3 linked regions of the Sus scrofa genome follow. The protein of the gene in region 1 binds, or shares a complex with, the protein of each later gene. Links are inferred from orthologs where the notes say so. Each region holds a gene or a part of one and is shown in the gene's direction. Other genes may lie near its edges. The genes, in order: PIGQ, PIGY and PIGH.

Region 1 (4,120 bases):
CTCCCGCTGGCGCCGCAGCCCCTGCCTCCTAATCAGACAGAAGCCGGCGGGGAGGGTGTGGCTGGGCTGGGCTCATCAGGGCAGTCTGGGAAGGGGCGCGGCCCCTCACAGTCCCCCATTTTCAGAGGCGCCCCAGGTTCTGAGCCTCCTGCAGCTTCTCTGGCCTCAGCCGAGGTAAGGGGGGGCAGAAGAGGGGCTGCCCTGGAGGCGCCCTGGGCTGTCACGTGGCTGAGCTGTGAACCTCCAGGCTCCTGGGCGTCTTCTCCCACAGGAGGCTGTCTGAGCCGTCGTTTCCTCCTCCGCAAACGAGGCTGCAAGGGCATGGGGACAGTTCTTGTGAGGACAGACTCCTGCTGCTGAAAAACAGCAGGAACAGGAGGCCCGGAGGGGCGGGCAGGTGCGGGGTTACTCTGAGTCTGGGGCCCAGCCTTGCTCCCAGTTCCAGTGAGGGGGTCTTCAGGGGGAGGGGACAGTGCCTAGTCCTGCCCGGGCGGCTGGTGAGGGATGCTTCTGCCTCTCACAAGGACTGTGGTTTAGGGGTCTGTGGTTTGGGCCATTGCCTGACAAGGTCCCGCCTATATGTTCCGGCTCTGCGGAGGTGGCGGTGGGTTAGCGGGTCAGTGTGGAAAGTTCTGTTGCCGGTTCTCAGTAAACATTAGTTGCTGCTGCTGGTGTTGGGGGTATTTTTCCCTGGAGCAGGAGGGGCCATCAGATCGGATGGCTTCAGCCTCTGGGCTGGCCCTCCAAGCTCACGTGGCCCCTGCAGGAACCAGGATGCTGGGAGAGGGGAGCCGGGAGATCCCACCCAGGACTTGGGGTCCTTTCACCTGGATGGTGGGGGGCAAGGAGAGGGCGGGGATCCTCATTTGTCAGGTCTAATGGGTCCCCAGACGAGGAAACTCGGGATGGGAGAGAGGTTTGGTGGCTGCGGCAAGGTGGATGACTGGAAGGCAGGGGTGTTGGGGACACTGTGGGTAGGCTGGAGGTGGGACAAGGGCTTTGTGCACAGAGCGTGAGGAGGACCAAGGTGCGCGGCGTGGGTCGGGCAGACGGGGACGCTATGGCAACAAGGGAGTCATTCTGGCCACACTGGCTCGAGGGTCCGGAACGTTGCATGCGGGGAACGCTTGTGCGTGAGGCCGGCGGGCAGCCCGGGCACATTTGGGGACGGACCGTAGCGCGGCAACGCCGGGAGCGGGCGGAAATGGGGCTCCTGTCCCGCGGCACGGCCGCGGCGGGGCTGGGGGCCGTGAGCGCCGTCGTCCGCCCGGGCCCACCCGTCGTTGTCCCCAACCCCATCCCGACCCTGCCGCCCGAGGGGGCGGCCCCGGGGAGCAGCCGGTGAGCACTCAGGGGGCGGGCCAGCGTCCTGCGGCGCGACCTTGGGGAGCTGCCCCCGCCGGCCTGTGGTCCCGACTCCCGCCGCGCCGCCCGACAGACCCGGGAGCCCGAGGGTCTCCGGAGCCGCGCTGGCCTCCTGCTTCTCGGAGCTTCTGTTTCCTCATTTGTAAAATAGGGACGCTGCCGGCCAGGGCGGGCTTGAGACTTGGGAGGGCGGTGAGGCCCCGCCGGGTCCTCCTGGGGCCCGTCCGCCAAGCCCCGCGTTTGCGGCGGGGCGGCGTGGGTGCCCTGGCGAGGAATCTGGTCCCGGCCCTGTGGGGTGAAGGGAGGCCAGCCGGGTCCCTCTGGCCCAACCTGGTTCCCGCTGTGGACTCTTTGGAAGGGCATTCAGGGTCATTGGAACCGGCTGTCAGCACTTTACAGCTGTCCCTGACTGCAGTAAAGGGCAAAACCCAGAGCCCTAGATTCGTGTCTCTTCTTCTGAAATGAGAGAAGAAAAGCACTGTTTACTGAACGCTTGTTGTGTTCTAAACACAAACACATAGAGTAAGAACGGATCTTGTGAGCTCTTGAGGAGCGCGAGTCTCCACAGGGGAGGGCTAGAGACGTCCCTGGCTGGTTGTAACTGGGCTTTTGCCCTGGATCCACTCGCGCAGAGGTGGGAGGCCTTCAGCCTCATGAGGTAGGCTACTGAGTTGAGCTTGCCAGGCGCCGGGCATGCCCGCATTGGCCTTCCCCAACGGATCTGGAACGGGCCGGGTCCCAGAGGACAGACCGTCATTCTTAACAGAGGCAGCTTTCCCAGGCTTGTGCACAGTCTTTAAAGATGTTCGAGGCGCGGGGTTGCTGCCTGCTCCCTCCCGTCTGCACCTCTGCTATCGATTGCCTGCTCTTTCATCTTTTCCTGGCGGTCTGATCTGAGAGCCTTCTTTGTGCTGGTCCCGCCCAGAGGCTGAGGCGGGGTGGGGATGGAAGCTTGCCCCATGATTTAAGAGAAGAGCGCTCTCTCTGCCCCACGGACGGGAACACCACCCTTTGCTCTCTGCTCTTCCCTAGACAAGAGGAGCTTTTTTTGGGAAAAGTTTGTAGATGAAGCATAAAACACACAAAGAAAGTGCACCTACAGGTACAGCTCAATGAATTTTCTGAAAGTGAACTCAGTGTGTAGCCCACTTCCCCCAGAGCCCCTGCTCGCTCTTTTGCCCGTGGCCTGCAGCAGCTTGATGTGATCTCAGTTCCCAGGCCGGGAACAGAACCCAGGCCGCAGCAGTGAAAGCTCCAGGTCTTCACCGCTAGACCCCAGGGAACTCCCTCCCACCAGTTGTGTTCAGTTTCTGACATCGGCTACGGGCAGTTTTCCTTAGGTCCTGTGAAAGGAGTCCCAGGCAGGGTGTGATGCTGTCATTTGGCTGAGCTGGTGTGTCCGATGGGCTGGTGCTGAGAGGCTTGGACCAGGCTGGCTGGTCCCCCAGGTGGTCACCCAACCAGATGTGCCAGGACCCTAAGGCAGAACGGCTCTGTCCTCACAGTGCCCCTCAGAAGGGTCAGGAAGGCCAGCTGGTCCTTGCTGATGGCCACAGAGACTTTCTCCTGGAGACACTCGCGTGGCTGGCCCTCTCTGGTCTCTGGGCAGAGGGGCATTTGGAAGCCTGGCTGCTGGTTGACTCAGGGGACCCTTTCCATTCAGAACCCACAGGTGGGAGAGGCCTCCCCCTTCAGCTGTGCCCTGACTACCTGGCGGGAGGAAAGCAGCTGCACCTGTTGCCCCTCCCAGACTGCTCTAACCCTCAGGAAAGGCATGTCCTCAACATGTGTGTCCTACTCTGTCCCCTGTTCCCCAAGGCTAGTTGGAGGTCCTGTAAGGCTGGGAAGGCTGGCGTCCCCTCTGCTGTTCCCCTGGTGGGAGAACTTCTAGACCCCTCCTTGGTCAGGGGAGTGGGTCCTAGAGGAGGGCGGGGCTCCAGGGAGGGGGGGCAGAGCTGAGTGCTGGAGGCTCCAGTGGTCTGGTGGTCGTAGAGAAAACCCTAGGCAGCTGGCCTGTGCCCTGGGCGCTGAGGCTCCCCGGGGGAGGGTGCGGGCTCCCTGGGGCATCAGGCCTGCCCCCAGGCATCTTCTGGGCCCGCCTGTGCCAGAGCCAGCTGCCAGTGCCGGTGCCCTGCCTCATTTCCTTCAGCTCAGCAGCCATTTAATTTTTCGTCTTTGTTCTCGCTAACTTAGAAAATCAAGGTTTGTTAGATTTTTAATTTACATTAGTTGTTCATGAGATCGTACGTTTTTCTATGTGTATGCAAAGAACTGTCATCAGGTCCTTAAAAACAAAAATTGCACCCTTGTGCCCAGCTCTGTGCAGTGCCCCCCCCCAGCTTGCTCGGCTCTGAAGGGGGACGTGTGCCCCTGCCTCAGGGTGGGGTGGGAGCAGCCTGGGCCGAAGACGGACAGCCGGGCCTCCCCACCAGCCTTGTGACCAGACCCAAAGCTGGGTCACCCCGACCTGTGGGCCCAGCGGCCAGTGGATGTGTCTGTCAGGGCCGACTGGGCCACATGTGGGCCAGGGCCCACAGGTCGGGCGCTGCCAGCCAGCCCGTGGTGCTTGCGGCACAGTGGCGGCGGCGGCGGCAGCTCTGAGCGGAGCCCTCCCCCCTCTCTTCCAGCGTCCCCAGCATGGTACTCAAGGCCTTCTTCCCCACGTGCTGCGCCTCGGCGGACAGCGGCCTCCTGGTTGGACGGTGGGTCCCTGAGCAGAGCAGTGCCGTGGTCCTGGCCGTGGTGCACTTTCCCT
Region 2 (4,120 bases), on another chromosome or scaffold:
CGCGGCTCGGATCCCGCGTGGCTGTGGCTCTGGCGTAGGCCGGCGGCTACAGCTCCGATTCGACCTCTAGCCCGGGAACCTCCATATGCCGCGGGAGCGGCCCAAGAAATGGCAAAAAGACAAAAAAAAAAAAAAAAAAAAAAAAAAGAAAAAGAAAAGAAAGCTGGGGAGTTAGGAGATTTGCGGGAGCCCTACAACTAGTAAACGATGCACCTGGGACCAAGGTGTCAGGCCCGGACCCCCGGCACTTACCTCCTACACTATAAGAAAGAGATCAAATCCGCATCATTTTCTGGGAGAGTCAGAAGCAAATGCGGGGCGAGAAAAAAACCACTGTGTGGATCACCCACTTAATTAAAGGACACAGTTACTTAGACTCCTTGCGGTTTCCAAGCTCATTTACAGAAGCAAATGAGTGGTGCTATTATTATGCCATTGAGCCCAGGGTAAGAAACTGGGCATCTTAAGTTTAAGAGGACTAAGCCATTCTTTTCCCGTTCTTATATTTTTTTTAATGAAAGGAGAAAAAAAAAAAGCCAAACAAGGTTATAGGAAGTGTGGTACTGCAAAGACTGACAGATACACATAAAACAAGTAATGCTTTTTAACATACCCAGTGTGACAGTGTGTTGGAAACCTCCTTTTGGTGATAACCACGGAGGTCCAAGTCTATCACTGTGTGACTCTGAGGTCCGGCCACTGGCTTCCTGGAGGCCCTGCGACAGGCCCTGGTGAAAACTCAGGACGCCTCCACTTGAGCGTGGGTTTTGTCTGCAACCTGCAAACGGGCAGGAAGAGCCGCAGAAAGCCCAGGCTGCAGGCGGGGCTCTCCATACCGAGCGGTGCCGCGGGAAAAGCAGTCGGGTCCCGAGCGCCCTCGGAACCAAAGAGCGGGCCTCCAGCCGTCGGGGGCAGCGTTTCCCGAGCACCGGGGGGCGGGGCCTGGCCGCCTGGGCGGGACTCCCCGGGATCGGCTGGAGCGGCCGGAGCGGCCCAGGGGGTGCGGAGGTCCGCGCGCCGGCGGCCAGACCATGCTGAGCGGAGCGCGCGGTCGGCTCGCCTTAGCGCTGCGAGGGACACGCGCGCCGCCGTCCGCGGTCGCCAGGAGGTGCCTGCACGCTTCGGGCTCGCGGCCGTCCGCGGACGAGAACAAGAAGGAGGGGAAACCGCCACGCGCCTTCGACCCGGCGCTGCTGGAGTTCTTGGTGTGCCCGCTGTCCAAGAAGCCGCTCAGGTAAGATTCGTCCGCTGCGGCTTTTCCCTGGTGGCCCCCTGTCGCCGGGGAGACGTTCAGGTCACCCGGGTGTTCTTCGCTGCCATGTTTTGGACCCGGGCCCGCCAGCTTCCCGGGTACTCGCTCCGCCGCGGGAAGGGCGGGAGGAGGCCCCAGCCGAGCCCCAGGCCTCCCGGACCAAACCGGCCACTCGCAGGCCTGGATCCTGGCGGGCAGCTTCTCCGCCGGCAGCGTTTTAGAATCTCGGGGGAATCCTTCTTAAAACGCAGATCTCTAGGCAACGCCCCACCCGGGCTCAATCCGAAGGCCTTGGGGCCGAGCCAGAGCAACTGCGTATTTTCTTGAAAGGATCCCAAGTGATCTTCCTGTACAGCCAGGGTTATGAACTCGGGATTCGGAAGACTAATCCATGGCATTCAGATTTTTAAGGCAAGGCGATGAAAAATGTGATAGCTTCCAGATTGTTGCGAAAACGCCGGGTAGGATCTTAAGCGCATCAGCTACGTGTGCGGCCCTTTGGTTTTTAGTTCTCGACCAGCCGGTTCTGTAAAGGCCTTCTTAACCTTTCACCTAGACTCTTTAGGATAAACATCTCTGCAGTTGCAGGCTGCTAAACCTGAACGTGGACAATACTAGCAAACACCGCAGTGTCATCAGTGGCTGCCTTTGGGTGGTAGATTGCTGCTTCCGTGGTTTCCTTCTCATGGATCAGTGAGGCAGGTGTTCTGATAAGCGAAGAAGCTGAATTTTCCTCTCGTGTCTGTTCCAGTAGTAAATTAGCTGGGATCGTTTGAGGGTTTAAAAGAGTCATGAAGGAATATTTGGATGAAAAGGAGAGATCTTTTCTTTTTTTTTTTCCACTAAGGCATAGCTTAAGAATAACGTGAAAAAGAAAATGAGAGAAACAGACTAAAATGGGAACAATTAGAGATTCCTTTTCTAAGAGAAATGGTTGAATTGGCTACTGCTGCTTTTAGAATGAAAAACAGTCTAATTCTGCTTTTCTGGCTCTAACTGTGTGAAGAATTGGATAAATGTTACTGTTTATTGAACCTCAGACTCTTCCGGGATTCATTTTGGTTTTCTTCTGCCCCTCAGATATGAACCATCGACAAATGAATTGATTAATGAAGAGCTGGGAATAGCCTATCCGATTATTGACGGGATTCCTAATATGATACCACAGGCAGCTAGGATGACACATCAAAATAAGAAGCAAGAAGAAATGAAGCAGCACTAGGTCATACGTAAACACAACACAAGGAAATTTTCTAAACACCATCCACCTTCGAAGAAGCCAGCGTGGCGGGTGGTGGGTGGGAGAGAAGAATGTTTCTGTCTCTTCCCACGCTGACTGTCCTTGTCCCCCTGGTCTCTCTGGGAGGACTGCTGTACTCCGCCTCCGTGGAAGAGAGCTTCCCCCAGGGCTGCACCAGCACAGCCAGCCTGTGCTTCTACAGTCTGCTCCTGCCCATCACCATCCCCGTTTACGTGTTCTTCCACCTCTGGACTTGGATGGGTATTAAACTCTTCCGGCATAATTAACGCAGCCGGAGCCACGATGGTATTTAAACTCATGATATGCTTGAGTGAGTGTGTCCGAAAGCTCCGCCACATGGAAATACTGGAAACCCAGACTTTGCAGGAAAGAGGCTTTGCTTATTAGCCTTTGTCAGAGGTTTAGGACTATGTGACGTTTAAGCTGCAAGAGGCTTCTTTCTTGTATTTTGGTTCTTCCCCTGCTTTTTGAAGGTTCTGATTTATACCTGGTCTCTCGGAAGAAACATTTCAACAAAGTGGCTTGTTGGAAATTAGCACCCCCACAGCCATCATCTGATGGCTTGTTCTTATCCCATTCATAATTAAAAATTACTAATTCGAAATTGTAGGTTTGTTTTTAGGTTCAAAGCCTTTGGTAAAGCCACATGTGAAGGATGACTGAGATAATTCCAAGGAGCTATGGGGAGTAATTGTAGAGAAATGCATTTGGACTAGTGTGATATAAAACTATAATAAAATGTAAATTTCATGTACTTGCCAAAATTCTGAGTTGGTAAAATTGCCTTCATTTCTTTGGCATCAGATGGCTTACATTATTAATAAGATATTGACATTTTCCATAAAACAATTTGCAGTTTTGTGTTTGGTTTTTTTTTTTTTTTCCTTTTGGTCACAAGAATATAATTCAAAGACAAGGAAATTATATGTTTAGAGAGGCACCCAAAATAGAACAGAATTTCCCAGGAAAGTATGTGCTGTGAGGAGAGGTGGAATTGAAAGACTGGCAAATAGCTGATTGTGTCCTGTTGAGTTTAGTTAGGGCGATTATTGAGCCACATTTCAGTTTATTTTTCTGCCATAAGAGACCTATTTATTTAGCAATACTAAGGGCATGAGCATTTGACACATTAATAGTTATTGATTTTCCAGAATTTTCAATAAGACTGATTAGTACAATAACTGTTTCAGAAGTATAACAAATGTTTCAGTATTTACCCTCATGAAGCCTAAGAACTCAATGTAACCTTAACTGATTCTTAATAGAATTTTAAAGTAGTGTAAAAGAAGCTTTAGACAGTGATTCTTCCCCTTAAAAAGAAAATTTAAAACATGAGGTTAGGCATTCCCGTCGTCGTTGTTGTGGCTCAGTGGTTAATGAATCCAACTAGAAACTGGGGGGTTGTGGGTTTGATCTCTGGCCTCTCTCGGTGGGTTAAGGATCTGGTGTTGCGATGAGCTGTGGCGTAGGTCGCAGATGCAGAGCAGATCTGGCATTGCTCTGACTCTGGCTCTGGCTGGTGGCTACAGCTCCAATTAGACCCCTAGCCTGGGAAGTTACATAAGCCGCATGTGCGGCCCTAGAAAAAAATAAAGTATAAGGTTAGA
Region 3 (4,120 bases), on another chromosome or scaffold:
TCTCTTCCCCAGTTTCCCTTCAGTAATCTCACAAGCAAACTGCGTAAACAAGATAGCCTCTAAAGAAAGGTCAGAAGAAGTAGATGAGCCTGCACACAGTGGGAGATGTCGACGAATCGGACCGCCTACCTCAGTAATTAACTGAGATTACTTCCCTTTCTCCCTTGAAAACCTTCATGGCCAAACAGAATCTTGGGAGCTGGTCTTGTTATAGGGGTCCACTTTCTCCCCAGATTGCCAGCTTTTGATTAAAGCAATCTGTTTCTACCAGCACTTGCCTCTTGAGTATTGACTTTTTAGCAGCAAGCAGCAAGACTGGAATTTGTCAACAAAATGTGTTATATTTGTCTTTTTAATGTAAAATTTCTTTTTCTTTTTTTTTTTTTTTTGTCTTTTTGCCATTTCTTGGGCTACTCCTGCGGCATATGGAGGTTCCCAGGCTAGGGGTCGAATCGGAGCTGTAGCCACCAGCCCGTGCCAGAGTCACAGCAACTCAGGATCCGAGCAGCATCTGTGACCTACACCATAGCTCACGGCCATGCCACATCTTTAACGCACTGAGCAAGGCCAGGGATCGAATCCGAAACCTCATGGTCCCTAGTTGGATTAGTTAACCACTGATCCACAACGGGAACTCCAAATGTAAATATTTCTTGATCAATTTCACAAAAAACTGCAATAAGATTTACGAGTTCTTTTTGTTGGTTTTTTATTTTTTAATTAAAAAAATTTTTAGGGCTGCATCTGCAGTATATGGAAATTTCCAGGCTAGGAGTAGAATCAGAGATACAGCTGCAGCAACTTGGGATCCAAACTGCATCTGCAACCTATACCACAGCTCCCCGCAATGCTGGATCCTTAACTGACTGAACACGGCCAGGGATCGAACCCAGGTGTTCATGGATACTAGTCGGGTTCTTAACCCACTGGCCACAAAGGGAACTCCTTTGATGGCAGAAGGAAGGGATAATAATTAGACTCATCATCTTCCGCTCTTGCTAACCTCCCAGCCAGGATTTGTCTGCCTACTCAATGCTCCAGGCAGTGGTTTGGGAGAGAGGACACCTAGCCAGTGAGATCTAAACTCCTTACCAAGCCCTATACAAAATCCTCCTGGTTCTGACCGCTACCTACCTCCCAACAGCCGACTGCATTCCTTATGCGTCAGCCTCTCTGACCTTTTGATTCCTTCAATAAGCCGATCTTGTTCCAGCCTCGGGGGCTTTCTTTTTCCTGGTCCTCCTTCCTGGCAAATTTCTTCTCCAGACCTGCCTCAGACCAGTCTGGCACCTTATACTTGTAGCTCCAGTGTCTCATCTCAGAGGATGTCGTCTGTCCTCTTCAAAGTCCTCGAGTAGCCCTGCAGGTCCTATTATTGCCAAGAGCACTCTGAGATTATTTCCATATTGTTTCTCTTAATAGGAAGGAAACTACTAGAAAGCAGGGATTTTGTCAATACTGTTTACCGCTGTACCCCTTCAGCACCTAAAACTACCTTGCACCGGGATGAATGAATGAATGAATGAACAAATACCTGCGGGCTGTCTCCTTGGGCGTACTCTGGCTTAGAAATAGAAATCAGTTTGTTGGGCGAAAGCACATTAACAGCTGTTTTAATCTGCCCGCTGAGGCCTTGGCCCCCTTTGAATCTCTGGGGTAGATAATCTTCAAATCCCTCTGGGCCAGGGCGTGGAAAAACCTAAACCCGAAGAGCGTCCCTCCTGTCGGCGGCGGAACTGCGGCTGCGCGCAGCCGGGGGAGGGGCGTGGCCAACCCCGCTCGGGAAGCTCGCCCAGAGCCGGCGAGAGGACGCTGGAGGGCGCGCCAGACGCCGCGGCGTGGCCTGGTGGAGGCGAGCCGGCCATGGAGGACGAGCAGAGCTTCTCAGACATCTGCGGGGGCCGCCTGGCCCTGCAGCGGCGCTACTACTCCCCGTCCTGCCGGGAGTTCTGTCTCAGCTGCCCTCGGATCTCGTTCCGCTCGCTCACCGCAGTCACCTGCACCGTGTGGCTGGCGGCCTACGGACTCTTCACGCTTTGCGAGGTAAGGCCGGCCGGCCCCTTCCCGCGGGCCGGAGTCGGAGGCTCGGCTTTAGAAGGGTCTTGGGTTGAGCCCAGACCTCTCGCCGGACCCTCCTCCAGTCGCAGGGCTGGAGGGAGGGAACGGGAGGGTTCTGGGGACGCCATTCCGCTGCTGGACAGCTCTCCTCCTTAGGTTTAGTGACGTTTGTGCTCCTGTACTTTATCCCGCTCACGGGCCGCTGCTCTGCTCCCTGGTTCCACCCAGCATACAGATGGAGCTCGTCCTTGCACGACAGTCCAAAACATTAACTTCCCCGTGCTCTCTGTAGTCCACGCGCATGGTCATTCAGGTCCAAGAGTTCAAGAGAACTAAATGGATCGTCATCATCCATCACTTCCACTCCTCAGAGGAATCACTGCTAACAGTACCTTAAAGTCTTCTAGAAACTGCCTGTGCCGCCACAGTAATGTCTTTGCCTCCGTGTGTCTTTGCCTCCGCAGTTCACACAAGCAAGTTAAGAGTTTGATATAGTTCTTCCTAATCTCCTTTTCAAGGCAGCCTAACTCCTCCTCCTCCCGATCCCTTCCCCAAACTTAAATTGTGAAATTTTGGACATGGGTGGTTTCTATGCTCAGTTCTAGACTCATTCCCTTTTTCTGGGCCTCAATGTTCACGTCTCCAAAATGCAATTAATATCTGCCACGCCACTTTCACAGCATTGTGAGGGTCACATGTAGTGGCTTTGTGACAGCCCTCAAATAAAAGGAATCATCCTTATTGTTTTCTTCAGTAATTTAGTTTCGTATGTAGTGCCCTAAATTGAATGTATTATCCCAGGAGTGACCTAACTAGAGCTAAGTACAGCAAGGCTATTTATTTCTATAGTTTGGGTATTGTTTCCCATACTGCATCCATTAATTTGTACCAAATTGCATTGAAAAGCTTGTTTGTAAGTCACTCGAATTGGTTAAGTTGCCAGGACCGTCCTTCCCCTTCCGTAAAAAGATTTAATATATAATATAGCTGAACTTCAATACGAGCTTGAGCTCTGACCATGTAGTCATGTGAGGAAGAGGGAACAGGTATTTTTATTAAATGCCCACCAAGTGCCTGCTGCTTTACTAAATGCCTTGTTTCAACCTTAGAAGAAAATCAAGACTCAGAGTAATAACTTATCCGAAGTGATAAAGCTAGTAAATGGCATACCTGGGTTTCAAACCCAGGGCTGACTCTGAAACCATTTCTTCTCACTACACTATGATGTCTCCTCCTTGGGGAGGGCTTACTTAGGCAAAATTTTTAAATAGGGGAAGTTTGTTATTGTGCCAGCTCCCTTTTGTATGCATTTCTCCCATCCTGGTATATCCCACTTACCCCATCAAATGTCCAGGCTCCGTAACTTCAGCTTCCTTTAAACTCCACTGCAACACTTCTTAAGGGCCCTGTGCACCAAAATTTCTTTTCTTTCCTCCTATTCAAAACTATTAGAGTAATGAATCTCAGCTAGAATGAGAAGTCTGATGAAGAAATTCCTTAAAACATGTGGCTTAACTTCAACCCAAACGAATACTGAATTGTTAGAATTTCAGAAAGAAAAATGAAGTATAAAAAATTGTAGGTAGTGGAGTTCCCATCGTGGCGCAGTGGAAACAGATCCAACTAGGAATCATGAGGTTGCAGGTTCAGTCCCTGGCTCACTCAGTGGGTTAAGGATCTGATGTTGCCGTGAGCTGTGGTGTAGGTCGCAGATGAAGCTCAGATCTGGTGTTGCTGTGGCTGTGGTGTAGGCTGGCAGCTGTAGCTCCGATTAGACCCCTGGCCTGGGAACCTCCATATGCCGCGGATGCAGCCCTAAAGTGCAAAAAAAAAAAAAATGTAGGTAGTAATGAAGTTTGGGGCAAGGATTACTTTCTAGAAATGCTAATATGGGTCAAATCCCCTAAGTATATCATGTTCTTCATCCCTTCTTTCCTCCCAGTTTTTGAACTCACAGTTCTGTTGGAATTCTAAGTCTTTATTTATTCCTAGAATATCGACCTCCTTCCTTTTCTCAGCTAAGTATATCTGTCAATAACCACTACCTCCTCTGTACCAGCTA

The links.
Region 2: PIGQ (region 1) and PIGY share a complex: the UniProt entries of both Homo sapiens proteins name them as parts of the glycosylphosphatidylinositol-N-acetylglucosaminyltransferase (GPI-GnT) complex. The link is inferred for Sus scrofa from reciprocal best matches to the Homo sapiens genes PIGQ and PIGY.
Region 3: PIGQ (region 1) and PIGH share a complex: the UniProt entries of both Homo sapiens proteins name them as parts of the glycosylphosphatidylinositol-N-acetylglucosaminyltransferase (GPI-GnT) complex. The link is inferred for Sus scrofa from reciprocal best matches to the Homo sapiens genes PIGQ and PIGH.

What each region holds. Positions count from the first base shown.
Region 1 is NC_010445.4:41,173,408-41,177,527, reverse strand, and holds the start of PIGQ (phosphatidylinositol N-acetylglucosaminyltransferase subunit Q), read left to right. Parts: upstream 1-1,162; 5' UTR 1,163-1,204; coding exon 1,205-1,341; intron 1,342-3,992; coding exon 3,993-4,120. UniProt on the Homo sapiens protein: Part of the glycosylphosphatidylinositol-N-acetylglucosaminyltransferase (GPI-GnT) complex that catalyzes the transfer of N-acetylglucosamine from UDP-N-acetylglucosamine to phosphatidylinositol and participates in the first step of GPI biosynthesis.
Region 2 is NC_010450.4:130,526,612-130,530,731, forward strand, and holds PIGY (phosphatidylinositol N-acetylglucosaminyltransferase subunit Y), read left to right. Parts: upstream 1-959; 5' UTR 960-1,031; coding exon of another isoform or gene 1,032-1,234; intron 1,235-2,332; coding exon of another isoform or gene 2,333-2,474; 5' UTR 2,475-2,563; coding exon 2,564-2,779; 3' UTR 2,780-3,372; downstream 3,373-4,120. UniProt on the Homo sapiens protein: Part of the glycosylphosphatidylinositol-N-acetylglucosaminyltransferase (GPI-GnT) complex that catalyzes the transfer of N-acetylglucosamine from UDP-N-acetylglucosamine to phosphatidylinositol and participates in the first step of GPI biosynthesis.
Region 3 is NC_010449.5:91,313,989-91,318,108, reverse strand, and holds the start of PIGH (phosphatidylinositol N-acetylglucosaminyltransferase subunit H), read left to right. Parts: upstream 1-1,760; 5' UTR 1,761-1,863; coding exon 1,864-2,043; intron 2,044-4,120. UniProt on the Homo sapiens protein: Part of the glycosylphosphatidylinositol-N-acetylglucosaminyltransferase (GPI-GnT) complex that catalyzes the transfer of N-acetylglucosamine from UDP-N-acetylglucosamine to phosphatidylinositol and participates in the first step of GPI biosynthesis.